Styela clava: one gene and its partners. The main gene of each other region encodes a partner of the protein of the gene in region 3 in a complex. Links are inferred from orthologs where the notes say so. Each region holds a gene or a part of one and is shown on either strand. Other genes may lie near its edges.

The links.
Region 1: the proteins of gamma-tubulin complex component 5-like (region 3) and gamma-tubulin complex component 4-like are in contact, whole or in part, in a cryo-EM structure (PDB 9I8M), measured with the Xenopus laevis proteins. The link is inferred for Styela clava from reciprocal best matches to the Homo sapiens genes TUBGCP5 and TUBGCP4. Residues at the interface, in XP_018102626.1 of Xenopus laevis: His233, Leu234, His235, Leu238, Ile241, Trp242, His245, His300, Met301, Thr302, Asn304, Cys305, Ser308, Val309, Gln312, Ala392, Ile393, Leu395, Asp396, Lys397, Arg410, Leu441, Asp442, Tyr443, Asp444, Asn445, Val446, Gly447, Glu448, Ala449; in XP_018110859.1 of Xenopus laevis: Met1, Ile2, His3, Glu4, Leu7, Tyr12, Pro13, Gly14, Ser15, Ile16, Gln29, Pro32, Phe33, Glu60, Thr63, Gly64, Ile84, Arg87, Ala88, Arg91, Arg101, Leu105, Gln109, Leu112, Pro115, His116, Leu117, Val178, Gly181, Val182.
Region 2: gamma-tubulin complex component 5-like (region 3) and nucleoside diphosphate kinase homolog 7-like share a complex: the UniProt entries of both Homo sapiens proteins name them as parts of the gamma-tubulin ring complex. The link is inferred for Styela clava from reciprocal best matches to the Homo sapiens genes TUBGCP5 and NME7.
Region 4: gamma-tubulin complex component 5-like (region 3) and gamma-tubulin complex component 3 homolog share a complex: the UniProt entries of both Homo sapiens proteins name them as parts of the gamma-tubulin ring complex. The link is inferred for Styela clava from reciprocal best matches to the Homo sapiens genes TUBGCP5 and TUBGCP3.

The regions. Positions count from the first base shown.
Region 1 is NC_135257.1:8,686,601-8,694,535, forward strand, and holds the start of gamma-tubulin complex component 4-like, read right to left. Parts: upstream 3,341-7,935; 5' UTR 2,688-3,340; coding exon 1,077-2,687; intron 681-1,076; coding exon 521-680; intron 1-520. UniProt on the Homo sapiens protein: Component of the gamma-tubulin ring complex (gTuRC) which mediates microtubule nucleation.
Region 2 is NC_135256.1:6,398,996-6,406,999, reverse strand, and holds the start of nucleoside diphosphate kinase homolog 7-like, read left to right. Parts: upstream 1-4,524; 5' UTR 4,525-4,646; coding exon 4,647-4,649; intron 4,650-4,756; coding exon 4,757-4,792; intron 4,793-5,740; coding exon 5,741-5,851; intron 5,852-6,185; coding exon 6,186-6,352; intron 6,353-7,035; coding exon 7,036-7,197; intron 7,198-7,734; coding exon 7,735-7,942; intron 7,943-8,004. Other genes in the region: uncharacterized protein LOC144425167, read left to right, coding at 557-716, 1,664-1,739, 2,079-2,205, 2,531-2,651, 3,048-3,166, 3,321-3,350. UniProt on the Homo sapiens protein: Possesses an intrinsic kinase activity. Displays 3'-5' exonuclease activity with a preference for single-stranded DNA. Does not seem to have nucleoside diphosphate kinase activity.
Region 3 is NC_135253.1:15,000,324-15,008,463, forward strand, and holds the start of gamma-tubulin complex component 5-like, read right to left. Parts: upstream 3,341-8,140; 5' UTR 3,124-3,340; coding exon 421-3,123; 3' UTR 1-420. UniProt on the Homo sapiens protein: Component of the gamma-tubulin ring complex (gTuRC) which mediates microtubule nucleation.
Region 4 is NC_135254.1:11,605,248-11,612,920, forward strand, and holds the start of gamma-tubulin complex component 3 homolog, read left to right. Parts: upstream 1-4,310; 5' UTR 4,311-4,328; coding exon 4,329-6,488; intron 6,489-6,758; coding exon 6,759-6,950; intron 6,951-7,504; coding exon 7,505-7,673. Other genes in the region: deoxyribonuclease TATDN1-like, read left to right, coding at 2,833-3,756. UniProt on the Homo sapiens protein: Component of the gamma-tubulin ring complex (gTuRC) which mediates microtubule nucleation.

The DNA of each region.
Region 1 (7,935 bases), on a different chromosome or scaffold from region 3:
ATGTACAACTTTTTCAAAAATGATTTCGTCATCGCAAATTTATCTCCGGTGGCAATTCAAAAGAATATCACTAACTGCATTGGTAAGGACCCAATGAATGTGAAAAATAATTGAATTACAAGGATTGCTGATTATGAAAATTTGACAATGATAAATTTAGAATCGGTTTTTGGTAAAAATATATTGTTCACCATTTATATTGCAAAATCGTCTATTCAATGTGCGCAGTTGATGCTGTTTTTCTTTATGATATCTTAAAGTAAAATTTGCACATCGAGCACTGAAAATAAATGACATTTAACAATGGAATCGGGTTTTACAGAAATACTTGTCCGAAGCACACTGCATATCTCTTGTTTTTGAGAGATACCGAGATAAGATCACACAAAATTGCTTTGTAACCATTGTGACACAATAAGCTAATATTGTAAATTATTACGCCAAACGTCAGGGTACAGTTAAAGTTTTTTCCCTGAAATTCCCAGCTCTAGTGTCTAATCATTAAAACAATATTCCTTACCAAGTAAACTTCTGAAAACTGGGGTAGATAATATGAAACATTGAGCAAGAAGTGCAGTCAAATAATTATCATGAGCTAACACAATCTGCTCAAAATCGGTTGAGGTAGGATTCTTGATCTTTGAAAGCAGGTTAGAAAAATGAGATTCCAATACATCCGCCTGAACAAAAGCATTAATTCATTATATATTCAACTTCTGCACTATACAGTAATTCAAAAAGCTTCAATAAAGAAACACCAAAGGCAAGCATTTGAATTATACAAATGCACATTCAGCTGTGGGATGCCAAAGTGGTGCTATATTGCCTAGATATACAGGGCATCCCTTTACAATTTTGTTATGAAGTCAGTTCTCAATATATCTTAACCAGGTTTGTTGTTTTTTATCAGCAAGTATTTTTACTTTCTTCAATACAAATGGTATCGATAAATTCTCTATATATTCATGGCAAAAACCCAGATAACCGGTTGCATTCGATCCTGTTTAATTTTGATGCTATTCAGATCGGAGAGATTCAGAGATAGATCAGAGAGATTCAACTGTAAAATACATTACCTGTAAATAGTACTGCAAACTGTCAACCAGATGACTCATATGCATTCTTAAAGTCAGATTAGAAATGTTTTGTTTGATAGAAGCATCATCATCATCAGTACATATAAGTGAACATTTCTCTTGCATTTGAAGTGCCCACAAATTCTGTAAAGCAAGTTGGGCTCTACGAACCCTCAACAAGAATTTAAACAGCTTGTTATATTTTGAAAGTACAGGTGGTGTGAAGATGATATGCAATGGCCATTTAACTTGGAATGTGATACTCAATAAAGACCATGTATCGTTAGAATCCATTATTCCTGATGCATCATATGTGTAACCAGAAGATTGTTCAGATTCTTTAGAAGATTTTGATTCTATAACTAATTTGAAGTTTTGTAACGCACCATCTTCTTCAAGTTGTACTTTGATGGCAGATCTCAAGAATGCCTGGTTAACATCGTGCTCCGTAGTTTTTGTTGGGGGTTTTCTCATTACTATCGCAGATTCTTCTAAAAATACCAGATATAATTCTCCAAGTCCAAGCAAGTAATAGTCTTTTAGCATCATAAAATGAGACACTAGTTTTGCTTTAACAACACACAAATCCCAAAGTTCTCTTGCTACAGTGGATCGAATTTTATTCAACCTGGATTCAAACTCCTCTAAAGAGAATCTATCTTGATTTTGCAACCACAGAAAATCCCTCATGAATTCTTGCTGATTTTCTTTGAGAATCCCGTCCATGCGCTTTCCCTCAACATCAGCAGAAAGTCCCTTCAATGCAACTGCCATGCTAGAGCCTCCAACATGAAGTGCTTGTTGTTTGTGTAGGTCTTTCTCAAAAAGATGCAATGATGAGCCAATAAAAAGAATGACATCAGCATCACGAGAGGGTAAATATGTCGGAAGCATGTCTGCTCGAATATAAAAGATTTCCAATTGAGATCCAAGAGTAGAGGATGAGAAAGTATCCTGGAACACGCTAACAGAGTCATTGGGTCCTTTCTCTTCAGATTTGGAAATGAAAAATTCTTTGTGTCTGTCAATAAGAAGACCATGCAGCAACCATGATGAAAGTTGTCGATACATGACTAAATGCAACCGTTTCTGTATTCTTAGCATTGCTCGCAGCACAACACGATTGCCTGTTTGTGATGCATGATGAACGGTACTTAGAATCTGACAACCATGACTTTTTCTTGATTTTACGATAGATATCAAGTCATACAACGCATCGAAAAGCAAATAATAATGTTCTAGCGAATGGTACACATGCATAAATGTTAATAGAGGATCCGCGAGTATTTCTTTTTCTATGTCTAAAACGGACTGATAATAAGATTCTAATACATCTTCAAGCCCATAACACAATGCTTGCAGGTAACATCCATGCAACAATCCATCAGAATGTTTTTCTGCTCCTTCTGCATATAAAGTTGAATTGTGAGTGTCAATGAACTTTTGAAAAAATATAATTTTTGTTGAAAGCTTGAGAAGTCTATTTAACGATGATTCTTCTGATGGTGATAGGAATGGAAGGCCGGGAACAACTCTAACAATACCATTTGATGTTTCTTTAAAAATACTTCCAGGATATCCTTGCAATGCAAATATCAGGTCGTGCAACATATTTTATGAAGTACTAAAAAATCAATGCTTTGAAATACAAAGTTCCCTCTATTAATATTATAGATGAATAAAATAGTAATCAATCATATTAAAAGAGCGTTTAAATTCTTCTATGTGTGACGTGATGTATATCTAATAGTACAGCATATTTCTGCCTTGCCAACCTTGAATGCAGATGCTATTCCCTCAGTGACTGGTAGTGTGAAAACTCGCAGTAAACAATACCAAGTTGACTGAAAATGTAAACATGTGCGAATAATTTACAAAGCATGGTGGTTTTCGACCAACTATTGATGTCCTTATAGCTTCAAGTAACTATATTTCAATATTTACCCCCATGTTGGGGTTGTGGCTAAAGTTTTAGAGATTGGACTAAATTGGTGTCACAATTGAAAGACGTTAAACCAGTGCCATACACAACACCCAGGGTTAATTAAATTAGGTAACTATTACTAAAATATCGTAGCTTCTTGCACAGCAGTGGCTGCCTGCACAATGACTTTAGATTGAAATTGTGAAAATGGCTCATGAAAAATAAAAGACTAAAACAGTTATAAAAACTTTTAGCAATGGATTGTCAGACACTACATCACTAAGCTGGATTTCATAACAAATTGCATTATTGATAACTAAAAACAATAGCAATAATTTCATGAATCTTTTTTCTGCAATGCTTTAGCTGAACTTTTCAATTTCATTTGTTTGACCATTATCATTTCAGAAGCTGTTAAAGTCAACATTCGAACTAATAAAATAATTAGATTAATTAGTAACGGAAGAGAATAAACAGCTGATATAAATAATCCAGAAGAATCAAAAAATTGATGATTTGGAGACACCCATTTCCAGTTTCTTGCGGCACTTTTGTTAATCCATTCAGCAAAATATATTGCAATGCAAAGTATTAGAAAATACAGACACATGATTGTGATTCTTTTCCAAGTGATAATAGTCAGTAGGATGCAAATGCAGTATATTGTCAATAATATACTGAGAAGTGTAGTTTCTTCAAGCCAGTCGACTGACAAAATTATTTGTGAGAAAATACCAACATCAGATAATTGAGAACTCATTTTTGACAGAATATATGTCTTTATGATAATAGCCTATATACCGTATATCTGTAAAGATAGATAGATAATAGACTACAGTAATATATATTTTTTAAGTCCACCGTGTGAAGTAATTCAAGAAAGTTGCTATAATACCAGAAAACTGCAGGTGAAGTTTGAACATTTTAAGAACTAGTGTGAGCATTATCATAATACATTGACATGCAGACCTGAAGGATCAACATACAAACTTGTCTGCTTGTGCACAACAAAACATGCAGACGTTCTGGCATTTTAGGCTAGTTTGCAAAAAATGAACCTTTCTTCTAATAATTACTGAATTAGCTTTATTTGTATATTTCATTTTAACAGTTTGAGTTTAATGGGTCCTCCAAAAACGAGTACCGGTATAGGGTCTCATGTACTTTCTTACCTGAATAACTTCTAGTGGGCGTGGCGTAACAATTTTTGGATATATGATTCCTGACCCCTACCTGATGACGTCATCCAAAAATTACGTCACTGCGACGTCACAATAACGAAATACAGCTTGCCAAAGTATAGCGACGGTCACCCGTAATGGCGCCTACGAGTATGTCAACAAACTCAATACGTCAGCGACCTCTCTCTTATCGGGGTCGTTGTACAGAGCTCAAAAATAAACAAGAATCACAAGCGACTAAATTGTCGCCAAGGAACGTTCACGATATCCCATTCTGACCAATTTCTGTCCAGCAATAGCTCATGTATCGTGCTACAATCTAAAATAGAGCGTTATACGATACAACTCTAACCAAGGCTTTAGACAAGCAGAAAATACATGTTATTTTACGCAATGGTTGAAGTTGGGTACCACACACATAAAGACATATTATTTTATGTCCAGCAATAGCTCATGTATTGTGCTACGATCTATTAATAGGGTGATATACGATACCGCTCTGAGCTAGGCTTTAGACAAACAGAAAGAACATTTAATTCACGCAATGATTGAGGTTAGGTGCCGCAGACATAAAGACTTGTTATTTAATATCCAGAGACTGATCATGTATTGGGCCACATTTTATTAATAGGACGTGGAACGCTTTCACAAGCAGAAACCGACATATTAATTTGCCTTAGCGCAATGGATGTAGTTTCTTACCTCGATAACTTATACTTATCTTAGCGTAACAATTTTTGCATATATCATTCCTGACCCTCACCTGACTTCGTCATCCAAAAATTACGTCAATGCGATGTCACAATAACGAAATCGAGCTTGCCCAATAATAGCGACCATAATGCAATCGTGATAAATATGCCTGTGTGTCCGGTATGGGTGTAGTTTCGTACCTCAATAACTTCTAGTTAACTTAGCGTAACAATTTTTGCACGTAATATTCCTGACCCTCACCTGATTTAATCATCAAAAAATTACGTCAATACGACGTCACAATAACGAAATAGAGCTTGCCTAATAATAGCGACGATTACTGGTAATGCCACCTATGGATGTAGTTTCTTACCTCAATAACTTATACTTATCTTAGCGTAACAATTATTGCATATATTATTCCTGACCCTCACCTGACTTCATGTTCCAAAAATTACGTCAATGCGACTTTACAATAACGAAATAGAGCTTGCCTAATAATAGCGACCATAATGCAATCGTGATAAATACGTCTGTGTGTCCGCTATGGATGTAGTTTCTTACCTCAATAACTTCTAGTTAACTTAGCGTAACAATTTTTGTATATATGATTCCTGACCCTCACCTGACTTCGTCATCCAAAAATTACGTCACTGCAACGTCACAATCACGAAATAACGCTTGCCCAATAATAGCGAAGATTACTAGTAATTCCACCTATGAATGTACCGGTAGTTTCTTACCTCAATAACTTATACTTATCTTAGCGTAACAATTTTTGCATATAATATTCCTGACCCTCACCTGACTTCGTCATCCAAAAATTATGTCACTGCGACTTCACAATAACGAAATAGAGCTTACCTAATAATAGCGACGTTATTCGTAATGGCACCTATGGATGTAGTTTCTTACCTCAATAACTTCTAGTTAACTTAGCGTAACAGTTTTCGCATATAATATTCCTGACCCCGCCCTGACTTCGTCATCAAAAAATTACGTCAATGCGAATTCACAATAACGAAATAGAGCTTGCCTAATAATAGCGACCATAATGCAATCGTGTTAAATACGCCTGTCTGTCCGCTATGGGTGTAGTTTCATACCTCAATACCTTCTATTAGGCTTAGCGTAACAATTTTTGTATATATGATTCCTGACCCTCACCTGACTTCGTCATCCAAAAATTACGTCACTGCATCCTCCCAATCACGAACTAGAGCTTGCCTAATAATAGCGACGATAATAAAGCCGTAATAATGGCGCTTGCGAGTACGCTATGAGTGTATTTTTGTACCACACAACTAAAGCCTTGTTATTTGATGTCCTTCCGTACGTCATGTATTCGTCCTACCTTTATTCATAAGACGTTAAACAATGTTAAGATCCTTCAAATGTTAATACCCCTACAATGTTTCCAGACCTTTTTCATCTTGCGGTTCACTAACAGCGAAATATTAAGAAAAATGTTTTCTGTTCTCATACCGATCTTTGAACACTCGCTCGCTAAAATTGGTTAACAGAAATTTGACATAGTGGAGGAAGTGGTATAGTATTTGATCTCCAAGTAATTCAGGGGAAATGTGAAAAAGGATGAAAGAAGACCATATTTATAGGCTCTTCAATTTTCTAACTGTTGAAATTTGGAATGGATTCGACTTCAAGCGCAATCGATAATTAAGCATTCGTTCACAATCCTGAGTTAATTTCCAGGATGCATCTCTCATCTATCTGTCGTTACGTTTTAAATAGAACTTATAATCATATTGGATGATTGTAATGAGCAATGAGCTCAATAGGTAAATTATATGAGTAATTGTCAATTTCGTTTTTAATGTTTATGAAATGATCTATTCAATTTCCTCAGCACAGAAGCATCTTCTGACAAACTTCCGAAAAAAGAAAACTTTAAATACAATGATAGCAACGGCTATGTATAGGAACCCAATATGTCTAAACGTTTGTCCTTCGGTAGAACGTGGGTGTTCTATAAAATTATAGCGCTTTTCAAAATTGAAATAGGCACCAAACAAAGCCAAATTTTAATCAGAACAAGTAAAATGCCTATGTCATAGTCGCGCAGAGAAAGGGGAGTAAAATGGAAATCACAAATACAGCACACATTAAAGTAGTGCATAATTATTCACACGTCTGTCTCAAATATTTTCATTGTCCTTTTTGAGAATCTGAGTACCCTGTGTCAAAAGTCTTCCGAATCCGACTATAGGGATAGAATGTCAAAATCCGTAAAATATTTGCCTTTGTATATGTGGCACTACACTCATTGGGGGACCGTAAATTAATATGCCTGTTTCTCATTATCCAAAGTCCATCCAAAGTCTTAGTCCGGCAGATAAGGGGACCTTTTTGGCCCAAGTTTGATTTCAGACATAAAGTTTTTTTTATTTGTGAGTATTCATCTTGGGGTCATTGCCCATCATTTCTACATGGGTGTGGAGTTTGCAGCCTTGAGCACTTTTTTTACGGCTCGATATTTGTATTAGTGTTTTTTGTCAAACCTGTGCATCATAATGACGCACAACCTGAACCATAACCTGTTACAATACTATGTTCAGGTTGTGCGCAATCTTGGTGCACAAACTACGCAAGCACCAAATTTACTAGGAAATAAAATCGATACCTTCTAGGTATTTGTTGAGCCCAGCTTTGGGTCGCGACCCATATACAGTGTATGGAAATACTGTCGAAACATACGCGTAAAATAAAGAGTACTATTTCAAAATACCCGTTTTTTGTTGCAATTAACAGTACAAGCCTGCTAATGTAGTCGCCAGTGGTTCAAGTGGATATACACCCGGTGGAGAACAGTCAATTATTTGTTGGCGAGAATTGTTATGCAGCGGGATGATCACGACGACGCAGTGAAAGATAATGATATCACGAGAACAAGAATGAGAAAATTGCTACATTTTATAGAATATCCCTGGGAAAGAATGTAGTTCATTCTTATGTTCCATGCCAATGCTTTTCAAACTACCAAAGACTCTCAACACTTTTGCTTCTTCTCTTCTATAAAAATACATTGTTATTATATATTCGC
Region 2 (8,004 bases), on a different chromosome or scaffold from region 3:
TAGTTTGACTCTGAACTCAGTCTCTGAGAATAGAATTTAGAGTAGACAAAAACTTTCAGATAACGTTTGTTTGTAAATAACAGTGACAAAACTTGTTTTGTAGCGTAATAATGGGCGCTCCCGTAGTATGTGAACCAAGATGGCCCTGAGGACACCTGAACATAGTAATATACCAGGCCATTTTATTCCAATTTTCTTATTTTATTTTACTACCAGGAGTTCGGGGACTGGCCAAGTGACTCCCGTAGTATTTGTACCTGAAATTATGGCCCAACCTTAACCCGGTACACATACTACGTTCCGGTGTCCGCCACCTAATATTCTGCTCTATCAGGTGTTCCCTCAGACCTATTTGACATATGCAGTACCGGTACCGTATTCTCCCTTTTTAGAACACAAAACAGTCATTGCATCAATATGAGCTGAAAACAATTTTTTAGCCTGTTTTTTAGGTTTGCTTAACGTCAGACATGCACTTCGTATGTTTTTGATGTGTTGGCCATGCCTGCTTTTCTATTGGTTTTATTGAGTTTTTCTTATTTGATCAAACTTTCAGACATTTTCTGCTTCTTCGTTATTGAAGTTAGAGTTGAATGAAAGAGTATGGTGCATTGTTCGAATCACAGTTTCTGATAAAACAGACAACTTTTACGTACATGTTGTAAAGATTGTTGGCAATATGAAAGATTGCATAAATCTTGGGAGGAATATATCAGGTTTGTCCTCAATGTCATTTTTTAGTTAATGTTCAGTTAATTACGGTTTTGATGTTCGGTTAAAAATGGGATCGCCATGCTCCAACAAAATATATCCTTGCTGTTGCTATGTCTTTTTCACTTTTTTCTTTTTCTTTTTCTGATTGTTTCCCAGTCAGTATTGACTAGAATTGTATCTACTAAATTATTTTAGTTTTTAGGCTGTAGGTCAAACAGTGATTGCTGATATCTCTGTCACAGCATTGCGATCACACATAAGTCGAGCTTCTGATTTTATTGTTTCTCTTTTGTAAGAGATCTTTACACTTTCTGCCATATTACGTAAGACTACCTTGTTTTTATCAAACTTCATGAAAATTCTTCACCAGTTTGTAAAAATAAACACAAATTGTTAAAGGTAGACTCAACAGTTTGCGCATTATTCTAAACGCTTGTCATCGGAATGAAATTCTGGGTCCTGCTTGGTTATGACTCCCTCTACCATTTATATAGTCTAAGTACATGTATATGAAGCGTTTAACTCAGCAGTGTGCTGCAGACAGCCCGTCCCACCAAGCCATTCAGTGTGGCCCATGTTAACATTCAGATTTTTCCCCATCAAGCATAAAATCCTAACTGGACAGCTCACGTTTAAAAAGCTGCACACATGGGTAAAAAATTAAAAATACATACTAATTTTGCTCTTGTCGCTGCTTTAAATCTTTTGGCATTTTGCCTGGTGCCTTTATTACTGGAAGGCTAAGCGATAGCCATGTTCTCTTGCATTTTTCACAGCACGCTGGCTAATTTTTTAATTTGTTGTGTACATGGAAAAACTATAGGCCCAGCTAAATGTCTGAAGTTGGTTCTTTGACCTAACGACTAAAATGTCGCACACCCTTGGTTCACTATTCACATTTCCTCTCCCATGTGATAAATATAAATGTCCTATTCTTGAATATTTTTAGTTCTTCCAGAAATATCTCCAGATCTTGGCACTCTAATGTCTGACATGAAGCAATATTATTCACAAAGTACAAGAAGGTAAGTTGTGATGATGGTGAGTAATAGTTTGGGTACTCCCGAAGTATGTGAAGTGAATCAAGATTGCGGATACCGGAACATAGTATGTGTACCAGGTTAGGTTTAGGTCATAATTTCTGGTACAAATTCTACGGGAGTCACTTGGCTAGCCCCCGAACTCGTAATCAAACTAAAAAAGGAAAATTGGAATAAAATTTTGGCCCAACCCTAACCTGGTGCACACTATGTTCAAGTGTCCGCCATCTTGGTTCACATACTTCGGGAGTACCCAAGTAAGACCCAATTCTGAATGAATATACCTGTATGCTTATGCCATATTTGATTTTGTTCTGCTTCAAGGTTGAAGGATTTGATTCAACCATGCAAAGGAGAGATGTACGCTGTCCATGTACCAGAAGAGAATTGTTTCTACAGAGGAATGATATTAGAAGTTTCTTATTCTACTACTTCGTTTACCACTGCAAGGGTATTTGGGAATCCTAATAGATTGTAATGATGACATGGTCGCCTTGCCACAGTCCTCTAAGTTTTTTTTTTCATGAGATACCTATGATTGATATGAATATCAAATATTATTTTGATTTAGTTTGTCCTTCATATGATAGATAATGGTTTGATTTCACATGTGTTTTCATGGTAAATATGGTTTAAATAGTTTGTTTTTATGTCTACACGAGGCACTGAACTAGAATTAATTTAATCTGACTTGGAACATGATTTGTTTAGACTTGTTCTGCACACAAAAAGAAATCTTTCTTTGTAAGCTATGAATCATTTTTTTGCATTTCCAGGTTTTCCTTGTGGATTTTGGAAGAGAAGTCATGGTCTTGGAAAGGTATTTACACCCAATGCATTCAACGTTTATGCATTTACCAAGACAAGCTGTTCAGTGTTGTTTGAATGAGACCGAAGGTACATAAATATCGCATCTGCTAGGGAAATGAGATAATGACATTCTCAAAAAGGCAATATTCTAAGTTGAGGAATTGGCCATTGCACCGATCTTATACTGTTACAATTTCGCTTGCACTGTTAGAGTCCATCCTCATAAGTTCAAGCTTTGATTTCCTGTGATCATTAAATATTTAATTATGAAAAACATGAGTCATGTTTGGAAATTTCGGCGCATAGGAAAATCGTAAATACACAACTATTTTTGAATATAAACAGTTTGGGTTAGGTCATGCTCTTAAATACTGAATCTTTTTTAAATAAGACGATAGACGATTTTTCATACGGTGTTTTTCCTATGCGGCGAAATTTCCTGCAGCCAATTTGCTTTAACCGAAAAACATAATATTTCATCAGATTATAAAGGAGAAAATTTGGGTTCAAATGGAACTCGACCACACCTAGCAATGCAGATTCATGAAAAATGTGAGGAGACTGATGGACCGCTAATAACATCACTTTTCAGGATAGACAAAGTAAGCTGAATAGTACGTCATGCCAATGCTCTGCTCTCATTTTTGAACACTTGCTAATAAGCAAGTTACGTTTACTTATATATTTTTTTACTTATATAGATTATAGTTAATTTTCTTATGGAAAGTGTATTGACTCTCAGTTTATTTTTTCCAGGATGGTCTTCATCGTATAACCCAATTTTGAATCTATGATGACTGTATGGAAGTAGAGTGACAAATCAAAAGACTTTTTTGAAACTGGTCGAACTCTTATGTATCGATTAAACTTTGTAGTGATCACAAAGTGTGATCCGATGCCTTAGTGGGGTTCTTATGTTATTATTTGTGCCAAGCAACATTCACAAAATGAATTTCTTTTCTTTCTTTCATGAATAATAAATTCATATTCACAAGTTTTCATTGTTGTAAATGAAATATGACAGGGATAGAATAAGGTAGGAATTTCGTATTTGTCTTGAGGGAGATGAACGCCTATGATGCAGCATGCGGACGTGTTTGTTTCTCTCAAAATTTGACTTTTTGAAATTTACCCAAATGCCATTCACTAACATGAAGTTCAGTTTAATAGGCTACCATATTAGGGCCAGTCAGTAGTTTATTTTATCACATACCAAAAGTACAATAGACAAAAATAACTACGAGTCACATATAAAACAATACTTTCGGTGTGCAGGGAGGCGCGATAAACCAGAAGAGGTTATCGAGCAGCGTCACCCTGGGGGAGTGAGTCTAAAAATTAAATCATAGTGAGAAAAAAGTCAAACAGGTGGGTCGAAAATGGGAAATGTCGACATCGAAAAGCATCGTGCCTCTGGTGGCGCAACAGCAGAACTCCCATGTTAATCTGTTTAGCAATTCATCAAAAAGAGATGCCGATCTCACTGCTCCATACGTTTATAAGTGGAAATTTAATCAACGAGTCGGTGGATTCCGATATACTGTATTAAAATGAGAGCTTATGACGCATGCCATGTTGATTTGGCATAAATAGGATCAATATATTTTATTTAATCAGCATCACTTTAGGCTTCGCGTGGTCATGTAGGGTAAGCATCTCTCGAGGTTCCTAACGAATTGGATATTGGCGAATCGTACGAGAGTTATTTCTCTGTTGCAGTTGGGCATCGGTATGTTAGTCGTTGTTGGGCATGGAATAGCGGATGCGTGTGTTCTAACAATAGGTGTCTAGGCTTTGTGAATATAAATACGCAATTTAATCGTTCATATATTAAATTTTTCTCTATTTTATTACGCATTGTTAAGTTCTATTTCCTTTCGGTATAAATAATAATACGGTATAAAAATTCTGATCAATCAACTGATGTGACTTTTGAACTGAATCAATAGCGCCATCTATCCATTACCTTGACAACGAGCCGGCGGGTTTGTTTTTCAACTGGCAGTTTTGTTGTCGCTTCACCGGTCGTTAGGCGCTTCTGGTAGTTTTGGACGTAATTAGCAGGAACAGAAAAAAATAAATATGGTATGTTTTATTTAAGTGTATTTTTTAAATTGGGTAATAACGTTATCGGAAGTTTTTGTTATTGTGATCTCAGAACGTCGCTCATCTTTTTGTTGTTGTTTTTACAGTTTCCTGGATATACACAAGAGTACATAGAGCCTTCGGTGGGTATTTTCCCTTCTTAAACAATTTCACTCATTTGTTGTATAGCCTTATTAAGAAGTAGACATTGTGATACAAAGTTAGCTAATTGAGTTAATAACTGGCGCGGCGATGTGGCTCAACGGGCTAAGCGTTAGGAATACGCTCGCCACGGCACCTCTAATTACTCTGCGTGGGTTCGCAGGTTCGAATCCCATGCAGGGATGGTTATGTGCGAGAGGATTGCTGGACTCCCCGCCGTCGTTGGGTGGTTCACGTAACCGCTGGTCGGTTACGGCTTCCTCCACCACCAAGTCCATGCTTCCGAAAACAAACAATACAGTAAAACTAATCCCATACCCGACTTGGAATGGTAACCGGACGAGAGGCCGTGGTTCGCCATATAGATAAGCCATCTTATCGGCTTTCCTCTCCCACGGGATAAATATGTAAATCCTATCATATAGGAATACACTTGTTGGGAAATCTGTGACAATTTGTAGTTCTTCATTTGATATAGCTGTTTTATTGACTGTGTTTGATAATTACCATATATTTCAACAAATGTCATTGATCCCCACGTTTTAAATACATTCAACGCAGCGTCCACAACATAAAGTTGCGAGTGTTTGGCTCAGTATTGGAGGCATTTTACACAAGTCATGTATGAGAAAAAAAATTCTTTCTATCCAATTTTCGTTTTATATAAGCAAAATTTTCCTGTCAATTGTAATTTCCGTCAGTTTATCATAAAGTTTAAATTCCTCTAAGAGTCACAGTTCTTACCACTTCATGGCAGCTATTGCCACAAACAAACCGATGGTGACTCTTGCTATGGGTTATGACGCTATTATCGGTATATTCACAAAGTCATGCACCAGATTTTAGGTTATCATGCGACTTCAGACTCCACAAAATACTTAAAACTGCTTTTGTCGTTAATGCTAATATCCCTTTTTAATTCAAAACAGACGGCTCAAGATCAGAGGTACAGCTTCATTGCAGAATGGTACGATCCGCAAGCTGCATTGATACGAAGATATCAATTTCTTTTTTATCCAAAAGATAACAGTATAGAAATGGTATGGATATTTAAATTCTTTAATATTTAAAAAAACTCTCATTTAAGATTTATTCGATGATCGAGAGCAAACATGGTCATTCCCCATTAATAATAACTGGAATACCATGTTGAATAAATAGTATTTCAAAACTTGCAACTTAAAAAATAGTGTTTTCTGTACTCCAGGCTGATATACAGATTAGAAGTTTGCCATATTCATCAATGAAATCAGATTTTGATTCACTTTTTTTAAACAACCAGTTAATTGTATTATGGCAATTTGTAGTATTAGCGTGAATCAGCTATGCAAAATAGCAGATTATTGATATTCTTCATCAAAATTTTGTATCTAGTATGACATCAAAAACAGGCGAAAGTTTTTGAGTCGAACCAAATCTGACACAGTTAAATTGGAAGACATGTACATTGGAAGTAAAATTCATGTCTATTCTCGTCAACTAACTTTTGTGGATTTTGGAGACAATTTCACCGAAAGCAAAGTGGGAACAAAGAATGAAAGGTAGGTTATATGGAAATAAAAATTTTTTTTATGTCAATTTATAATTGATATAAATAAATAAGTGTTTCCTTGACTTAAACATGATGATTTGGATAGGATTTACATCATATGGCAAACCACAGCCTCTCGTCCAGTTACCAGTTCATGTCGGGTATGAGACTAGTTGGCGAGTTATTTGTTTTCGAAAGCATGGATTTGATGATAGAGAAACTGACCAGTGATTATGTGAACCACCCTACAGCGGCGGGGAGTCCAGCAATCTTTTCGCACAAATCTATCCCCACGTGGTTCGTTCAGTTCAGTCATTTATTTTTGTGCTAATGCTACAACTGGTTTATGGGGTATGATATCTTGGTATTCCTAGAATGTGTTTTAAAGCCAAGCCCCTAATCAACCTTACGTTGTTCTTTATTAGATTTGTTTTGTTATTAATTTCTTTACATTGCAGTAATGGTGTTTTTGAATAAATAGCAGTGAAATTCTATCTTTTCTCCTATAATTTTTGAAGTTTTTACATGGTAATAGCATACCATAAAAAGCTTGCCGAAAAAACTAATCGAAATGCATTTCAGATCTCTTTAGTGATCATAGACTGAATTTTTATTATCTTGTGATTCATTATCTTACTTCTGACAAAAACTCAAAAGCCGTGTTTAAATATCAACTGATATTTTGCTTTGTAGAACACTTGCAATCATAAAGCCAGATGCTGTGAATAAAGTTGGTGTGATCTTGAACCTCTTGAAAGCAAATGATATTCAACCATGCAGAGCAAAGATGGTAAAACTTGTCAGGAAGAATGCAATGGACCTTTATGAAGAACACCGATCTCAACCACATTTCAAGTAAGTCTCAAATTCCCTCAATAAATTCAAGTAGGTATATTTAACAGTAACATTGTGTATGAAGAAGTCTGGAATAGAAGTTTTTAATACCGAAGTATTTTTCAGTATTTTTTTGGCTTTTTTCCACGAATTAGGCTTAGATAGAGCTACCAATATATTGGTTCTATACATATTTCCCTGGAAAGCCAATAACACCTACTGCCTCTCGTCTGTTACCAATTCATGTAGTGTATGGAAATAGTTACCTAGTTGGCTTCATGATAGTGGGGAAAGTTGTAAATGACCAGAGGTTACATGAGATGCGTTATATTGGGGTAGAAGCCCAGCAATCTGTTCGCACATAGGTATACTCACCGCAGATTTCGAATCCCCTTAAGGTGCAATGGCGTGTTCCTTCTGTTCAGCACAATGCCCAATCCCAAGGAGTAGGAACTGGAGAATATCCTCCTAACGAAACTTAAGGCAATTGTAGTGCTCTATAACTTCCATTAAGCAGCCTTCTTTATTATAAACATTTTCAATTTTCCACTTTTGCAGTACCTTGCTGGATTATATGACAAGTGGCCCAGTAATTGCAATGGAATTGATGGGATCCAATGTAGTTAATCAATGGAGAAGATTACTTGGACCTGTAGATTCTGGGAAAGCTAAAGAGAGCGAACCTGGAAGCATTAGGGCCAAGTTTGGAACTGATGGAGTAACAAATGCAGCACATGGATCAGAAAATCAAAAAACAGCACAGAAGGTAATGATTGTTTATAAACCTGACATTTCAACCATTTTGTTTTGTAATCTCTAGCAAACAGC
Region 3 (8,140 bases):
GGAGAGGAAAGGCAATAAAATGGCTTAATCATATTGCGAACCACGGCCTTTCATCCGGTTAGCAGTCCAGGTCGGGTATGGGATTATCCAGTTACTTGTTTTCAGCTTGATGGTGGAGGAAGCCGTAAACGACCTGCGGTCACGTGAACCACCCTGCGGCTGCAAGGAGTCCAGCATGCCTCTTGAATACAATACATTTGTATTCATTAATTTCAACATTTACCTCAATTAATAGTGTTTCGAAGAAAAAGGTACAATACATTTGTATTCATTAATTTCAACATTTACCTCAATTAATGGTGTTTCGAAGAAAAAAGTACAATACATTTGTATTCATTAATTTTGACATTCACCTCAATTGTCCTACCATCAAAGCTATAAAAAAATGATATAATAGAAAGCACATCCTATTAAAAATTATTATGACAGCAAAAAAAAAGCCAGAGATTCAAGACTCAATGGTACAGCTCCTCTACTAACGAGGTTTTGTAAAATAATACCAAGGAAATCACTGCATTCCTTGTATTCCGATTCATATTTATTCAAACTCTCAATGGAAATAGACTCAAGTCCTCTGTTCCACTTTAGATGTAAAATAACTGCGAGATTAAATATTTTACGCAGTGTTCCTTGTATCATCTTGTCTGCTTGTTTCTTTTCATGTAGAAGACACAAAGTCATAACACGGTCCAAAAATTTGTGGTGAGCTTTAATAATGTCATCAATATTGTCTGCTGCACCAATGTGGGTGAAAAATACCTCTTTTTCTGCTTGGATTACACTCGTCATAACGAAATTATGCCAATGCAATATTAGTCGCAATATTTTTGAACGAAGTAGGGCAAGCCGATGAGCATATACCAAACTGAACCCGGTTTCAGATTTAGACTTTGGCTGAATAGTGTTAAACTTCAAATTTTGTAGACAAAACAAACAGTGTTTCATCTGCATCAAATATCCAAATATTGAATTATAGGATTCTCTGACCCAGTCGGTAAAAATAACATTTAGTGGCCAGTTGATATCAAAATACAACTCTATAATATCTGTCGCCTGAATCAAATTATGAGCATTATTTGTAGTATGTTTTGATCTATTCAAAGTCACTGTTATAAAAGGAAGAGCAGCTTCGGGATCTCTGTCGGATATTGCCTCCTGAAGAGATGCTCTCAGACTCATAATGTCTTCCCAATATTCACCAGAACTCATTTTTCGAAAAATGGTTGAAGTGAAGTCAAATATAACATCACCCCATTCCATTAGGTAAAATTTATGAAAGCATTCAATATTGAAAATAAGTTTGTACTGATTTAAAAACATTTGCAGCAAGGCTTGATCAGCAGTTTGAGACTTAACTTTAACCAAATTATGAAGTGAACTTTGAATTATGGTGGGGACATGTATTTGCTTGTCAACATTTGTTGCAGTTGCATTAAATCCAACATCAGGCATATCTGAATCTTCAAACAATCTTTTAAAATTCAACAGTAACATGCTATCACATGCACTCTTTCCTTCAAACAGATTTTCCTTTTGGGGATTTTTGGTAATTGTATTCACGCTTGTAGACATACTATGAATAAATGCATCATGAAAACTTAATTTAGATTCATTTTTCTCAACTTTTCCTAAGGCAAGCAATACCTCCATTGATTTACCTGCAACAATAACATTGTGCAGAACACTACGCAACCACGATAAATGTTTCATACAATCTTCTGATGCCAAAATAAATGCATCATTCCAAAAAGCTTCAGACTTGACATCGTGACAAATAGGTGAGCGTTGTACTATAAATTCATAGTAAGGGTCAATAAGGGATCCATGAGACATCCATTCATCCATCATATCAAAATAAGGACAAAGAGCATCTGCCCAAAGTTGAATGAGAACATTCCATAATTGCGACTGCTTCAAAGATTTTGTAAGACAATCAGATTGATCCAATATGCTATTATACAAAGTCCCCAATAAGCGAGATGATTTTTTAGCATTAGAATCGCTGGGTTTGTCTAGAGAGACACTGTTTTGCAAAACATCATGAATTACTGAAAGTTCATGTAACCGAGGAGAGAGAATTTTTATAACATTTCCTAACAATAAAGTTTCCTCATGAAGAAAGATACGCCGCTGCAGGCTCATTAAGTCGGCACGGAATGATTTCATGAAATTTAGAAGAGATTCTGAGAATGCTTGATAGGTTTGACACTCCTGTTGTGATGTGGTGAATGTGAAATTGATGATATTCCGCACTATGTCACCATACCTCGCGATCTTTAACAAAGCAGTCAAATATGATGTTGGAGTAGCATGATTAGTTTTAATTTCTGCATTTGGAACGTGTTTGCCATTTACAAATGGAAAAACATGAAGATTTTGCTCCCCACTCAGAAGCCACAAAACTTCTCTGAGTATGTAAACTTCTTTAATATCAGATTCTGATAGTTTGCGGAAACTTTCCAAATCACAGTGTATACTAGTTTTGTTAGCTTTCCAATATTCTGGTACTAATTCGCAACATACCTGTAGTTTATTAATGTTCTTAATTTTATTTTCTTTGGACTTTAAGGTTATTGAGGTATTGAGTGTTGTATCATTTCTGTGCAGGACATCATGTAAAATTAGTTCTTCATCCTCAGAAGTTGGTGGGGTATCATCCCAAGCCCACTGTGTCGGATATGGAAGTTCTTCCCCTTGTAATAAATATTTGGGCCAGTCAAACAACCCACAGTCTTGTTTTTGTGGAGAATTTAGTTGAACGTAATCTGTGTTGACAGGGTTTTCTGATAAATTCAACAATATTGACAGAAGACAGTAATGTATTCGACTTCCAGTGCCAGATGACTCACAAATGTTCGATTCAGAAAATGACACCTTGAGGTTTTTAAGAAGTTCTGCTTTACGCGGTTGTGAATTAATCAGAAATTTTTCACACATCCCATCAATCCAACGTTCTACCTTGCATTCGTTAACATCAAGAAAGCTATGATGCTGGAACCTGGACAATGCAAACGCTTTACAAGCATCATGATTTCTGCCTCCTTCTTCATAGCATGTTAAACTTTTAACAAGTCTTGCCGTTGCATTTGTAACCTTCTTGCTGAGTTTTAGATCGGAAATCATTGCACAGTTATAGAAGTCTGAAAACTAAGTCACAATAATTTAACAGGTTCCTTAACACAGTAACAGTTACAGTACCTAACATTTGGCATCAAGTGCGAGGCGCAGTTCTTACCACTTCATGGCAGCTCCTGCCACGAACGAACCGCGGCAGCTCTTGCCATGGTTTTATAGCGCTATTCAGTAATGAGTATTGACGGTATATTCACAAATTAATGTACCAGATTTTAATTGATCATGCGGATTTATATCTACTTAAACCCTAACCCCAAATCCACCTAAACTGTATCCATAGGAAAAACGTTCCAACTTACCCAATATTTGTCACCATAAGGGACAGCCCTGTCTTTACGGCCCACCTGCCGTAGCTACGGCAGCAAAATTTTACCTGCCATAGGTTTTCAGTTTGCTGCCGCGGTACGGTACCTTAACGGCAGCTCGTCATTGGTTTGTGGCAGCTAAAAAGTCAGTCGCCATAGGTTTGGCTGTAGCGGCCATGGTATGGAAATATCGCCATGGTTTTGCGGCAGCTGCAGACGCCACAGAGTACTTAAAACTGCACTTGTCAATTGCGAGCGCCGCCGGTCCGTCGCTGGTTGCGTTCGCCTCACCTTCGGTTCTCCGTCGGTGCTCTTGACTGAGTGTTGGCGGTGGCCGATAAGTTTACTTTGAAAAAATTAGAGGTTCAAAGCAGGCTGTTCGCCTGCATAGTGTTGCATGGAATAGGACCTCGGTTCTATTTTGTTAGTTTTCGGAGCACGAGGTAATGATTATTAAGAGGGACAGTTCAAAATATGAATTTTTGATATTTCATTGACATAGCTAATTCCCAACGTTTAGTAGGCCTACTCAATAACAAAAACAAGCACATATTTGCCCTGATTAAGGTTACTTAATTATTCAATAAATTCTTTTTGCTGCATAGCAAGTCCAGCCGTGGCGCAATGTTTGTTTATGCAGGCCTAAATGATGAATTACAATGTCTGACCACCGATGGCCTGGTCCCTATCCGTAATTGTTCACTCTTATTGAGAAAACTTAGCATAAGGCATCAGTTTGTGCGCTCCAAATTATCAGGGAAAAGCTCATGAAGCACCTAAACGAAAAATATGCTGCTTCAAAATAAAGCACAATTAGTCATCGTTTATATGTACTTTATGCCCTTTGAAGCTAATCAAAGTTAACTTTTCTTTATTATCTCTGCCTAGTTTTTCTTTAAAACGCTAAAAAATAGCTCATGTTCGATCAACTCGGTTCAGCAAATGAATAAACTACAGCCTACGAAATTGCAGCATGTGTGGTTTACTTCTTCTGTTACGTGGCAATAGGCCCCAACGTAACAGAAAGTAAACAATATAGAACGGTACAATGAATTTGATTTGTATACAAATCATTTGCGAATAAAACATTTAGAACAAATAAAATATGAGATATGTTTAGAGGCGCACTTAGCTAATCGGGTCTTACGATCAGAATATGCATTGGTATGCAAGCGCGATGACCATGTTTCCCCGAAAAGACCTAACAGAAGACCTAGCCTGAATTTCAAAAATGGTTTTAATATAAGCGCTACCCTTAAAAAAGACTTCGTTGATAGCGCATTTTTTTTTACCTAGTCCAGTGGAAGTGCGTCGTTTCAATTTTGTGATGGTGTTATAATAAATAAGTTTAATTCCGAAAATTCGTTTTTTTGTAGATAAAGATTATTTTTTCTTTATTTTTCAAGAAGCGTTGCGCACTCCCATCCCCCTTGCGATTTCGTATTTTTATAAAGCAGGCTTTTCTACCATGGCCTATTAAATGTGATTTCACTGAATTCCGTTAGGTTTTGTTTGTTCGTTTATATGAAACTCATTGCAATAAAGGTCTTTTATTAAAAGGTATCTCATACGTATTTTTACGTGAAGTCGCGACTTGAGAATATTTTTGGAGGGCGTCACAATACAATGAAGTTCGAGAACCACTGAGTCCTAGTCGATAGCGAGAAAACTTTTCTACTTCAATAATCTATATGTAGCAGGTATTTTAAATGAAAACGTTCTATTAAATAGGTAAATGGAAATAGCTATTCATATTTTGTATATTAAAAAATCTCGTTATTTTCTACATTCCCCCAAAATAAGCCCTAGTGTTATTCTCGAAAGAAAATTGAAGACACTGTCTTATTTCTGGGGAAACACGGTATAGAAATGTACCAGGAATCGTAAAATTTTTGTTTTACACAATTTTTAATAATTGTGTTTCGAATCAAAAGACTGAAAAAGTACAATAGATATAGTACTTCGTGCAAAATTGGTGTTCACTATGCGGCCCCTAAAATTCGATTTGCGGCCCCTTCCAGGGCCGCAGCCCCTAGTTTGGGAAGCCCTTTCAAAGGGAGTTTGAGGGGCGTTGACCTGGCAACCACTAATGTACTGAATATATATATTACATGAGCTATATATTTCCTTAAACTTTAATCATGTATTAGAGTTTTGCAGGCCATGTTGAACATGCTGCATTAAAATTATTTTTACGGCGTCGCTTTTAATTATTTTAGTGTCAAGGCTTGGAATAAAACCAGGATACAATTTCGATGCATTATTGCCGAATCTATCAAGTAATTTTCTGAAAATCAAAGTAAATTTATATCCGCTTAGGCCTCTCATAAATGACCAATACGAAGGAACATTATTATGGGGCTCAAAAATACACACTTGAACTAATACACAAGTGCATAAGCCGTACAGTAAAGCATCAAAATTAGAAAAATAGGGCAATATATTTACAGATACCGCCTTCATACACAGTATTTCAAGCAATTTAGACAATCCGTACATTGTAATTGCTGTGCTAGGGTAAAATACAGAACTTGATCCAGCAACGAGTCCAGAAATGGCTCCAAATAATTCATGATAATCACGTCCTATCAATCTTCTAAGGAAACAGTTGGTCAATTTAAACAAGCCAGTATAAGCACAGAAAAACTTTGCCAACGAAAAGTCAAAAGCGACTTTTCTTAATACTAAACTTTGTCTATTTGTTAAAGCCTTGAAAATGGCACGATAACAGAATATCAATTGCATTAGATAGCCTAAAGCAAAATGTTTGACCGAACTTGATGCGGCGTTGGACAAGCAACCACTTGTATGTCGACAGCACAATCGGTGAAAAATGAACTGCTTATGTCCAGACGACATATTTACCTTCTGCTTGATTTGATAGACTTCATTGATAGATGTAAAGAATTCTCGTTCTTCCCCGAATACTTTGGCAAGAATTGATTGCATGAAAGTAGGCAATTTTGAACCTCTGTAAAGCCCCATGTATAAGGAACTGATAACAGCGAACAAGTAGGTTACTCCTCCATTGATAGGCTCCACGCACCCTCTGGATGTCAACATTTTGAATATAGTTTGCATGGCAATATTAAGTGCGTACACAGCAAGCATGCCTCGTCTCGACTTCTTTTCAATAAGAATGCTAAAAAACGAACAAAAAAATCCGACGACGAGGCCAAAAATGCCATGGAATTTTCCGAAAATTTTGTAATACCAACAAAATGCCATCATAAAATATGTAGAATTCATTGTAAGAAAAAATGTCGAACGTAGTATAGCAATTATGGTATTTCTTGCAAGCTTCTTCCTGTTTAACTTTGTGCTTCTCAGTTTCCATATTGCTATTAGAGTGTAAAAGGGAACATATAGCTTCAGAGAGAATACAAGCGCCTTCCGAAATATGTCGTACTGCGAAGATATACATGAAGAATTCCAAGTGTGCCCCAACTCGTAGCATGTACAATGAACCGCATCAAACGGACCAAGTTTAGTCTGAAAATCATTGCATCTTGCCTCTTTGCTAATATTGATCATCTTGCTGTTTTATTTCCTTTTTATTTCTTCAAACCACATTACCCAAACGCTAAATACGAAACAGATCGGTAATACTAGTGAAAAAATATATTCAATATGACATAAAACCTATCTGTACTGAAAACAGCATGTACATGGATGGAATAAAGAACAAAACACTACTAAATAGCTACGCATTAAACATTCTTTAGCTTCATCAGGGATAACACGCTCCGATAGATTTTACGGTTCATCGTTTCGTTTACGTAAAAAGTAATGCGCGTAACCTACGTGTGCAACATGCTACCGGTAAGTTAAAAAAGAAGCAGGGTATTTTATTGAATCATGTCACAAAAACTTTCTATCCGTCACGTCACCTGGTTTACTTCGCTGGGTAAGTATGATAAAGCCACTGTTGATTAAAAATAGTTACTTTTGATGACTATGTAAAATCATAGCCTAGCTTTGACAAATTAACAACATAATTTACTGGACCGAACCCGTTGCAAAGGTTCGAGGTATTGGTATCCAGGCCGAATATCGTGTCACAAAAACTTTCTATCCGTCACGTCACCTGGTTTACTTCGCTGGGTGAGTATGATAAAGCCACTGTTGATTAAAAATATTTACTTTTGATGACTATGTAAAATCATAGCCTAGTTTTGACAAATTAACAACATAATTTACTGGACCGAACCCGTTGCAAAGGTTCGAGATATTGGTATCCAGGCCGAATATCGACTGTCACAACAGCTACTGTCATAATGGCGACTTCATAATAGCGACGTTATGATAGAGACTTAATTAACTCGTGTTAGGGTTGGGGACCTCTCTACACACGTATGCACGCACAAACAGGCAAACACTGCGTAGTGAAAGATCGAAACCAAGAGGGACCTTAAAACAACATTTTATTTGAACTAACCCTAACCCTATCATAACAGTCGCAGTTTCAATGCGGTCGCCATTATGACAGTTGCTCACTAGATTCCGTCGCTAATATGAAGTCGCCATTATAACAGTGCTATTCTGACAGTCGCATTTGGAACCCGAGCCGAGATATTATCGATTTTGTGAAGCGACCAGACATTCGTTACTCATACTTTGCTTCCGCACACGATGACTGCATTCAGACTCTTTGTCTAATCTAATGGAAGAACCAAATAAAGAAATATATATATTGATGT
Region 4 (7,673 bases), on a different chromosome or scaffold from region 3:
GAACGTTGAAGTTATATCGCTTACCGGTATTCTGATGTATACCGTAGCAGTAGGCGGGTCTGGTAGGTACCGGTACCGGTATAGTTTAGTGCCACATGCACTTCTAGTTGGCCTGGCTCAACAATTTTTGCATATGTCAATCCTAACCCCCACCTGACTACATCACCGAAAAATTACGTCATTTCGATGTCACAGTGGCGTAATAGGGCCCACCAAAGTATGCGGATGGTCGTCCAAAACGCGCAGACTACCGTACCGGTATCCCCCAAAATTGAGCAAGCTATTTCTTTCGTTCTCTCGCCACAACGATCACGATAGGAGAGAGATCGCCGGGTCTCATGTAGTTTCTTACCTAACATACTTCTAGTGGGCGTAGCATGACAATTTTTTCACGTATCAATCCTAACCCCCACCTGACTACACCATCCAAAAATTACGTCATTACGACGTCACAGTGACGTAATAGAGCCCTTCAAACTATACGAACTGCCATCCAAGACGCGCAACCGAGCACCCGAAATCGAACAGTTATTTCTCACGTTTTCTCGTCGAAACAATTCCAATAGGAGAGAGACCGATAACGTCAGTCAGTTCTTTATCGTCGGCGCCAATGCCATTTCGGTCGATCGGGCGTATATTTGGCAAGCTCTATGACGTGATTGTGATGTCGTAGTGATTTAATTTTTGGTTGGCGTAATCAGATAGGGGTTAGGATTGACATATCAAAAAATTGTTATGCTACGCCCACTAGATGTACGTTAGGTACGAAACTACACGAGACCCGAGATCGGCGCAGATCCCATTTCGGGCGATCGTAATTATACTTCGGCAAGCCCTATGACGTGATGGTGACGTCGTAGTGACGTAATTCTGGATGGCATAGTTAGGTGGGGGTTAGCAATAACATATGCAAAGTTTGTTATGCTAGGCCCACTGGAAGTACTTGTGGTACTAAACTATACTAGACCCGAGGTTTCTTTTCAGTTGATTATATTTTGAACGCTGTTTTTCCTTGTGTTCCGACTGGCTAATTTTTATCGATAATTGCTTTTCTGTTTTGACGCGAGTTTCGCGGGCTTCACTGCATCTGACGTGTCACGCGTGGCTCTTGCATACCGACTTTACGCGCCGAAGGACGTCCTTGTTTAATCTTATTATGATGTTAGTGGTTTCGCATTATCCGCTTTACTGACTTAGCGTGTGGGTGGCATTTGGTCTCGTTAGGTAGAGCTGTGTTGAGGGTATCGTAACCGGGGCCCCATATGACCATCGTCATCATTTATTGCTTTAATTGTTCATGTATTTTTATATTGCATTCCTATTAACTGCTTTCTAAATTTAGTTGCTATTTTTATTCTAATAACATTATCGTTCACGTTACCTGTGAGTTTCTTGTCGATTTAGGCCTTTGGAGCGTTACAATATGTAAGTTTATCTTCTATTAACTATCTGGTTATGCATTTTCTTTCCGCCCTCATCTTGTGATTGTTTATTGATTAATGATTATTTCATTTTATTTACAGTCAACCGTTTTACAATAAACGCGTATGACATGGAACATCTGTGTGCCTAAAGCTAAATCTGACAGGAATCTCATGTGGCATCACATTTTTTTAAAATACTACTTGAATTAAAAACGTGTACTTGATGTATGACTGGATGTCTGGGGTGTTGAAGCCAAATCGTATTATTGCATCAGATAATAAAATCCAAATTCATATTTTTGCACATTCAGCCAATACTATTAGAAATCCTTCACCAAATACAGAAATAACTGATCACACTAAATTCATGCATGCGATTATTCAGATTATATCCTATTTTCATTAGTTGAATCATACTATTTGAGTATAATATTAACATGGCCATTTCAGATATGTTTCCTTTATATACTGATATATCCTTGAGTTGTTTCCTATTGAAATTGATATATATACCGTACTGTGTCGAAGGGTAAGTAACTTTTTGTTTTCGATATTGCTTTTTAATAATCAGATTTCCTGAAAAAAAAGTTTTTCCATAGAATTAGAGAGTTTTTAGCAAAAAAACTGGTTACATAACGGCCATGATTCCTTTAGATTATTATCGAGACAAGCATGGCGTGATATGACCAATCTGCCTTCCCTGCTATCCCTGAATTGCAATTCAGATACATATGATCGGGGATCATAAGCCTATTATTTTCATGTAGTAGCTCTCTAATGAATCAACTATTTCACTGTGATTAATACACTTTCCAATGTCTAATAGATTGACAAATTGGAGAATGACATGGCAAAAAATATATTTTGGATTATCGTAATTTAGTTTGTTCCAGCCTCCCTGCTAAAATTATTGAATATTAGATTAAATAACAGGTTTCAATAACAGATAGAATATTTGGATTTATATACTTGTAACTTAATATATTTGGTAATGAATTCTTAATTTTTGGAATATTTGCTTTAGGAATTGGAAACTCATTTAAAAAAAATATACCCCGGTCCTGATTAGATTCTGAGATTACTCCGAAATTCGTCTTCTTTCTAATCAGATCACGTTTTTTGTACACGGTGTATAGAGATTTTTATAAACTAAGAGTGGAACAAACCAGAACCTGTGTCTATTTATCTATTGTAAGTGGGTGTATTGGGTGGTATCTGACTCAGATACTAAATGGTTGTATCGTTACCACCCAGTCATCTACCGAAAACTTTTCTTATCATTTATATTTACCTATTATATGTTTTCTGGTTTGACGAAAAAATAAATTCTCTCTCTCTATTACAGTATTCTGATATTACCGTTCATAGAGACGGATATGTTTATCTGTGGATGTCGGGACAACGGTAAATGAAAAACTTAACACGACTTTATAGAATGGCCAAATTTATTGATATTGGAGCAAATTTGACTGATCCTGTGTTTAGAGGAGTTTATAGAGGTAAAGAGAAGCATGAAGATGATTTTAAGGATGTCATTGATCGAGCGAAAAAAGTTGGATTGGATAAAATCATTGTAACTAGTGGATGCCTTCAGGATTGCGCGGATAGCTTGGAAATATGTAAAGCCAGTCAATTTTTGTTTACAACAGTGGGATGCCATCCTACCAGATGCCAAGAATTTGATGAACATGGTCCTGAAGTATATTATAAATCATTATTTGATATTGCCTCTAGCAATGGTGATGAAGTAGTAGCCATTGGTGAGTGTGGGTTAGATTATGATCGCTTGCATTTTTGTCCTAAGGAAACTCAGTTGAAGTATTTTGTTAAACAATTTGATTTGGCGGAACATACAGGCCTTCCAATGTTTTTACATTGCAGAAATGCACATGATGATTTTTTGGATATAATGCGACAGAATCGTAATAGAATATCTGGAGGTGTTGTTCATTCATTTGATGGCACACCTGAAGAAGCGAAAGCAATAATAGACTTAAATTTGTTTATAGGAATAAATGGATGCTCTTTAAAGCAAAAAGAAAATTTAATGTCCATTTGTTCTATCCCATCAGACAAACTTATGATTGAAACTGATGCACCGTGGTGTGAAATAAAACCAACGCATGCTGGGCATTCTTTTATTAAAACAAAGTTTCCAACGAAAAAGAAATGGGAAAAAGACCATTGTATAAAAGGTCGCAATGAACCGTGCAATATTGTTCAAGTATTAGAAGTAATGGCTGAAGCTAGAAAAGAGGATTTGACGGAACTGGCGACCACAATGTTTGAAAATACAAAAAAGTTATTTTTTGACAGGAAAAACGATGTCTGATTTTAGGATATAAAGCTAGATTTATCACTGAAAAAATCATCTTGCATTTTGACACATACAGTTCTATTTTTAAGTTTCATTATTGCACCAAAAAAGAATCAAGAGTTCATATTGACAATTGACATTCTAGAAACATTTTTTGTGTGCAAAAACTAGAATTTACTTCGACAACAACAATTAGACTTCCTGATGTTTTTGAAGCTGATTTTTGTATCGCTTGTTTTAAAAGTTCTATCAATATGAAGGTGATCTTTAAAATGATAATATTTGCCTATTTTGTGATATATTGTTTATTTCAGCAATTCTGCTCAGATGCTTTTTGATTTTAGTTAGATACATTTATCAATCCTTTTCATTTGGCCACTGATCATGGCTAATTAGACGATTATACTTAGTTACTGAGACTCTTTTTGAGTATCGTATTTGAAACCATTTTCAAAACAAATATAGATGAAAATGTAGTTCGAATGGGGATAGTTTGGGTTACATTTATCAATTTATTCAAAAACTCAATTTTCAGCTTCCTAAATTTGTTACATGACTTTCTAATATAGTATCATCTTTAAATAATAATGGCAACGAAAAATCGAAATCAGCCAACTCCTGAAGTTCTAATTAACGAATTGTGTGTATTATTGAGTGATGATAATCCAAGGCATTCCCAGAAGTTGACTGCATATGCATTAAGAATGCTATCGGACCTTGGAGACCAACCGATACCGAACTGCAATGAAAACACTGTTATTGATCGCATTAAACGAGATTTGGCCACAAGAGGAATGCAAGAAAAAGCTGCCAAAATAAGTGATCTTTATAGAAGACTTGCTGCTTCAGGTCGAATACAAAACCTTTGGTCTGTCTTATACCTTCTGAGGAGTTTGTCAAAAGATAAATCTAAAAATTACACAAAAAATACGTTGCTTTTTCGACAGGGCCTTGCTATATCGTCAACACCACTTATGGATTTGACTCCACCAGCAAGCCGTCTGCATTCCTCTGGGAATGCCAGTAGTGGATTTGGAACTGTTAATAGTCAAGGTACTATAAGATCATCAAATAGTGGTTTGCCAAGTAGCATTGATACCCCTGCAAACGATTTTCAAAGTATGTCTCTTGGTTCACGTCTTGCATGGGGAATAACACCTTCTACAGGATACAATTTGACATTGAAAACGGATCCAAGTACAACTGTACAAAGCAATGATGGAAAATATAAATCCAGTGTTCAGGACAAGTCAAGGGTTTCATCATCATCTTCTCATAGCAACAAGACAAAAGTTCCTGTGAATAGAATTGCAGACAGCACTCTACTTCGCGAACTTTTGCATGTTTTTCGTGGCACTGAAAGTGAAAATATTAAAATGAGTTCAAGAGAAGATGCATTTCGAATCACTCCGAAAGCAACTGTCGATAAGCGTACTGCTCAAATGGTTCATAAACTTGCAGAACTAGGCTGGTTGCATAACAGAATAAGAAAGTATATTGATAAACATAGTAAGGATTTAGCTTTCGGCTTAGTCGGTCAGGCTTTTTGTGCAGCATTGGTTCAAGAGTTGCAAGAGTATTACAGATTCTTATCTGTATTACAGTCCCAATCATACAAAGAAGATCAGGGTTTTGCAGGTGATGCTGGGAGTCGTCTAACTTTTTACAAACTCTTGGATTGGACATCTGAACCTAAAGAGAGACTGCAATGGGTCGCTATGCTCGTAGATAATTGTAAGGACAGGAAAGGTGGTGCCTTGGCATCCACTATTCATGCTTTTATGCAAACTGGTGATGTTAGCATGCGGTTGTTGACAAAACGTCTTTTGGTCATATCGACGCAACCAATTTTTTACATTTTGAGTCGATGGATTTATGATGGTGAACTACAGGACACATTTCATGAATTTTTTGTTGCAATGGATCCTACCGTCAACAACGATCGGTTGTGGTATGACAAGTATCACTTGAGACAATCTATGGTTCCATCATTTATGACAGACAGCCAAGCAAGAAAAATTTTACTTGTTGGAAAGTCTTTGAATTTTCTTAGGCTGGTTTGTCGTGATCGTACAGAAGTTGATATCAGAAACAAGCAAGAATTTCAGTTACCTGAAGATGCACATTTGGACAGTACGTTAGATTTTGGCACAGAGTTGCAAGAGAGAGTGGACGAAGCTTATGAGGCCACTAGTCGTTGCCTTTTGAATGTCCTGAGCGACAGATACAAACTTCTGACCCACCTTCGAGCAATGAGAAAATTCCTCTTACTTGGTCAGGGTGATTTTGTTCGACATTTACTAGACTTGTTGCATGACGATTTAGCGAGACCTGCTGGTCAATTGTACAGACATAACCTGAACGGCCTCGTTGAAGCTGCTGTCCGAGCCACAAATGCACAATTCGAAGATCAAGATGTTCAGTCTCGTTTGAACATACGTCTTCTGGAAATAAATCCAGGCGATACTGGATGGGATGTTTTCAGTCTTGATTATCACATCAATCAACCACTGAGTACAATTATCACTCCTGATATTATGCTACTTTATCTCAGATGCTTCAATTTTCTTTGGAGAGCAAAACGCATGGAACACAATCTTGCTACTATATGGACAGATACAATGGAACAATCCATGAGACTTTCTCCTCACTTGCCTGAACTTAGAGGAATACTTCACATGTGCCACACTCTTGCTGCTCAGATGGTTCATTTGGTTCACCAAATTCAGTACTATATTGCATTCGAGGTATGGGAATTATTTTGCGTTTCATGCGCTATGTGTATGTGTTTCTATCACATCATTTGAATTTGGGATTGGAATCATCAATCAAGATCTATAACCTGTAATGTCAATTGTCGACATAGGCTCAATGTTTTAACCACTTGGCCACTGCACTCAACAAATTTTTTACAGTGTTCGAAATTGTTATACTGATGTTTTTATGACAAACTGTTTCTTTTTTAAAGGTGCCTTATTCCTAATTTGGTTCAACTTTAACTTTCTTTTGTCATCTAGGTTTTGGAGTGTTCATGGGCAGACTTGCTGAAGAGGGTTGAATCTGCTAAAGACTTAGATGAAGTAATTGTTGCACACAGACAGTTTCTTGAAGCAATCATGAAGAGATGCTTACTTGATCAAGGATCGCAGAATTTATTGACGCAATTACGTTCAATTTTCGATCAGATTGTCTTATTCGAGACTTTAAAGGTAGAATCCTTTTATATTGGTTTTTATTGGTTGGTTTTTTCATTTGGAAAATTAATTATGCACTACTTTACATCAAGTTGTGGAAAGAGACTGAAATCTTTGGGTGTGAGATATACTCACTTGGCTAACACAAATAAGTCCCTGAATTCGTAATAGAACTAAAATAAGGAAAATCGGAATCAAATTATGGCCTAGCCTAGTACTCACACTACAGGAGTACCCAGTTTTGTTTCAGCCCTTATATATATCTAAGTAAGTAAGTGTTTATTTCGATTTTCCAATACAACAAAACAATACATGGCAAAACAAACAATTGTACGGAAAATCAGGAAAGGGGGCAAAATCTAAAAAAGATTTAAGACGTGCTGGTGCACGTGCCCACTTACGCCAAACAGCAAACAACACATTGAACTAAATTGAAAAAAAGGAACACGGAAGATAAAAGGAATCTATAATAAGTTTTCACATCCATTGCTCAACCATGAATTGTTGAGTTTGTTGAAAAACTTGTTCTGTTCCCCTGTTATTTGTCAATTATATAAAATGTGTTCCAGGGTAAAATCTATGAGAAAGCTATGGATGAAATGACGAGACGAAATCGTTATGAGAATTTCGACAAAAAGGGAATTTGGAGTGAGGATAGCGTAGAAGAGGCAGAGGAAATTGAAAAAAGAAGAGTTTTCAAGAAAGAAAATGTTCCAAAAATGAGAGCGCAATTGAGTA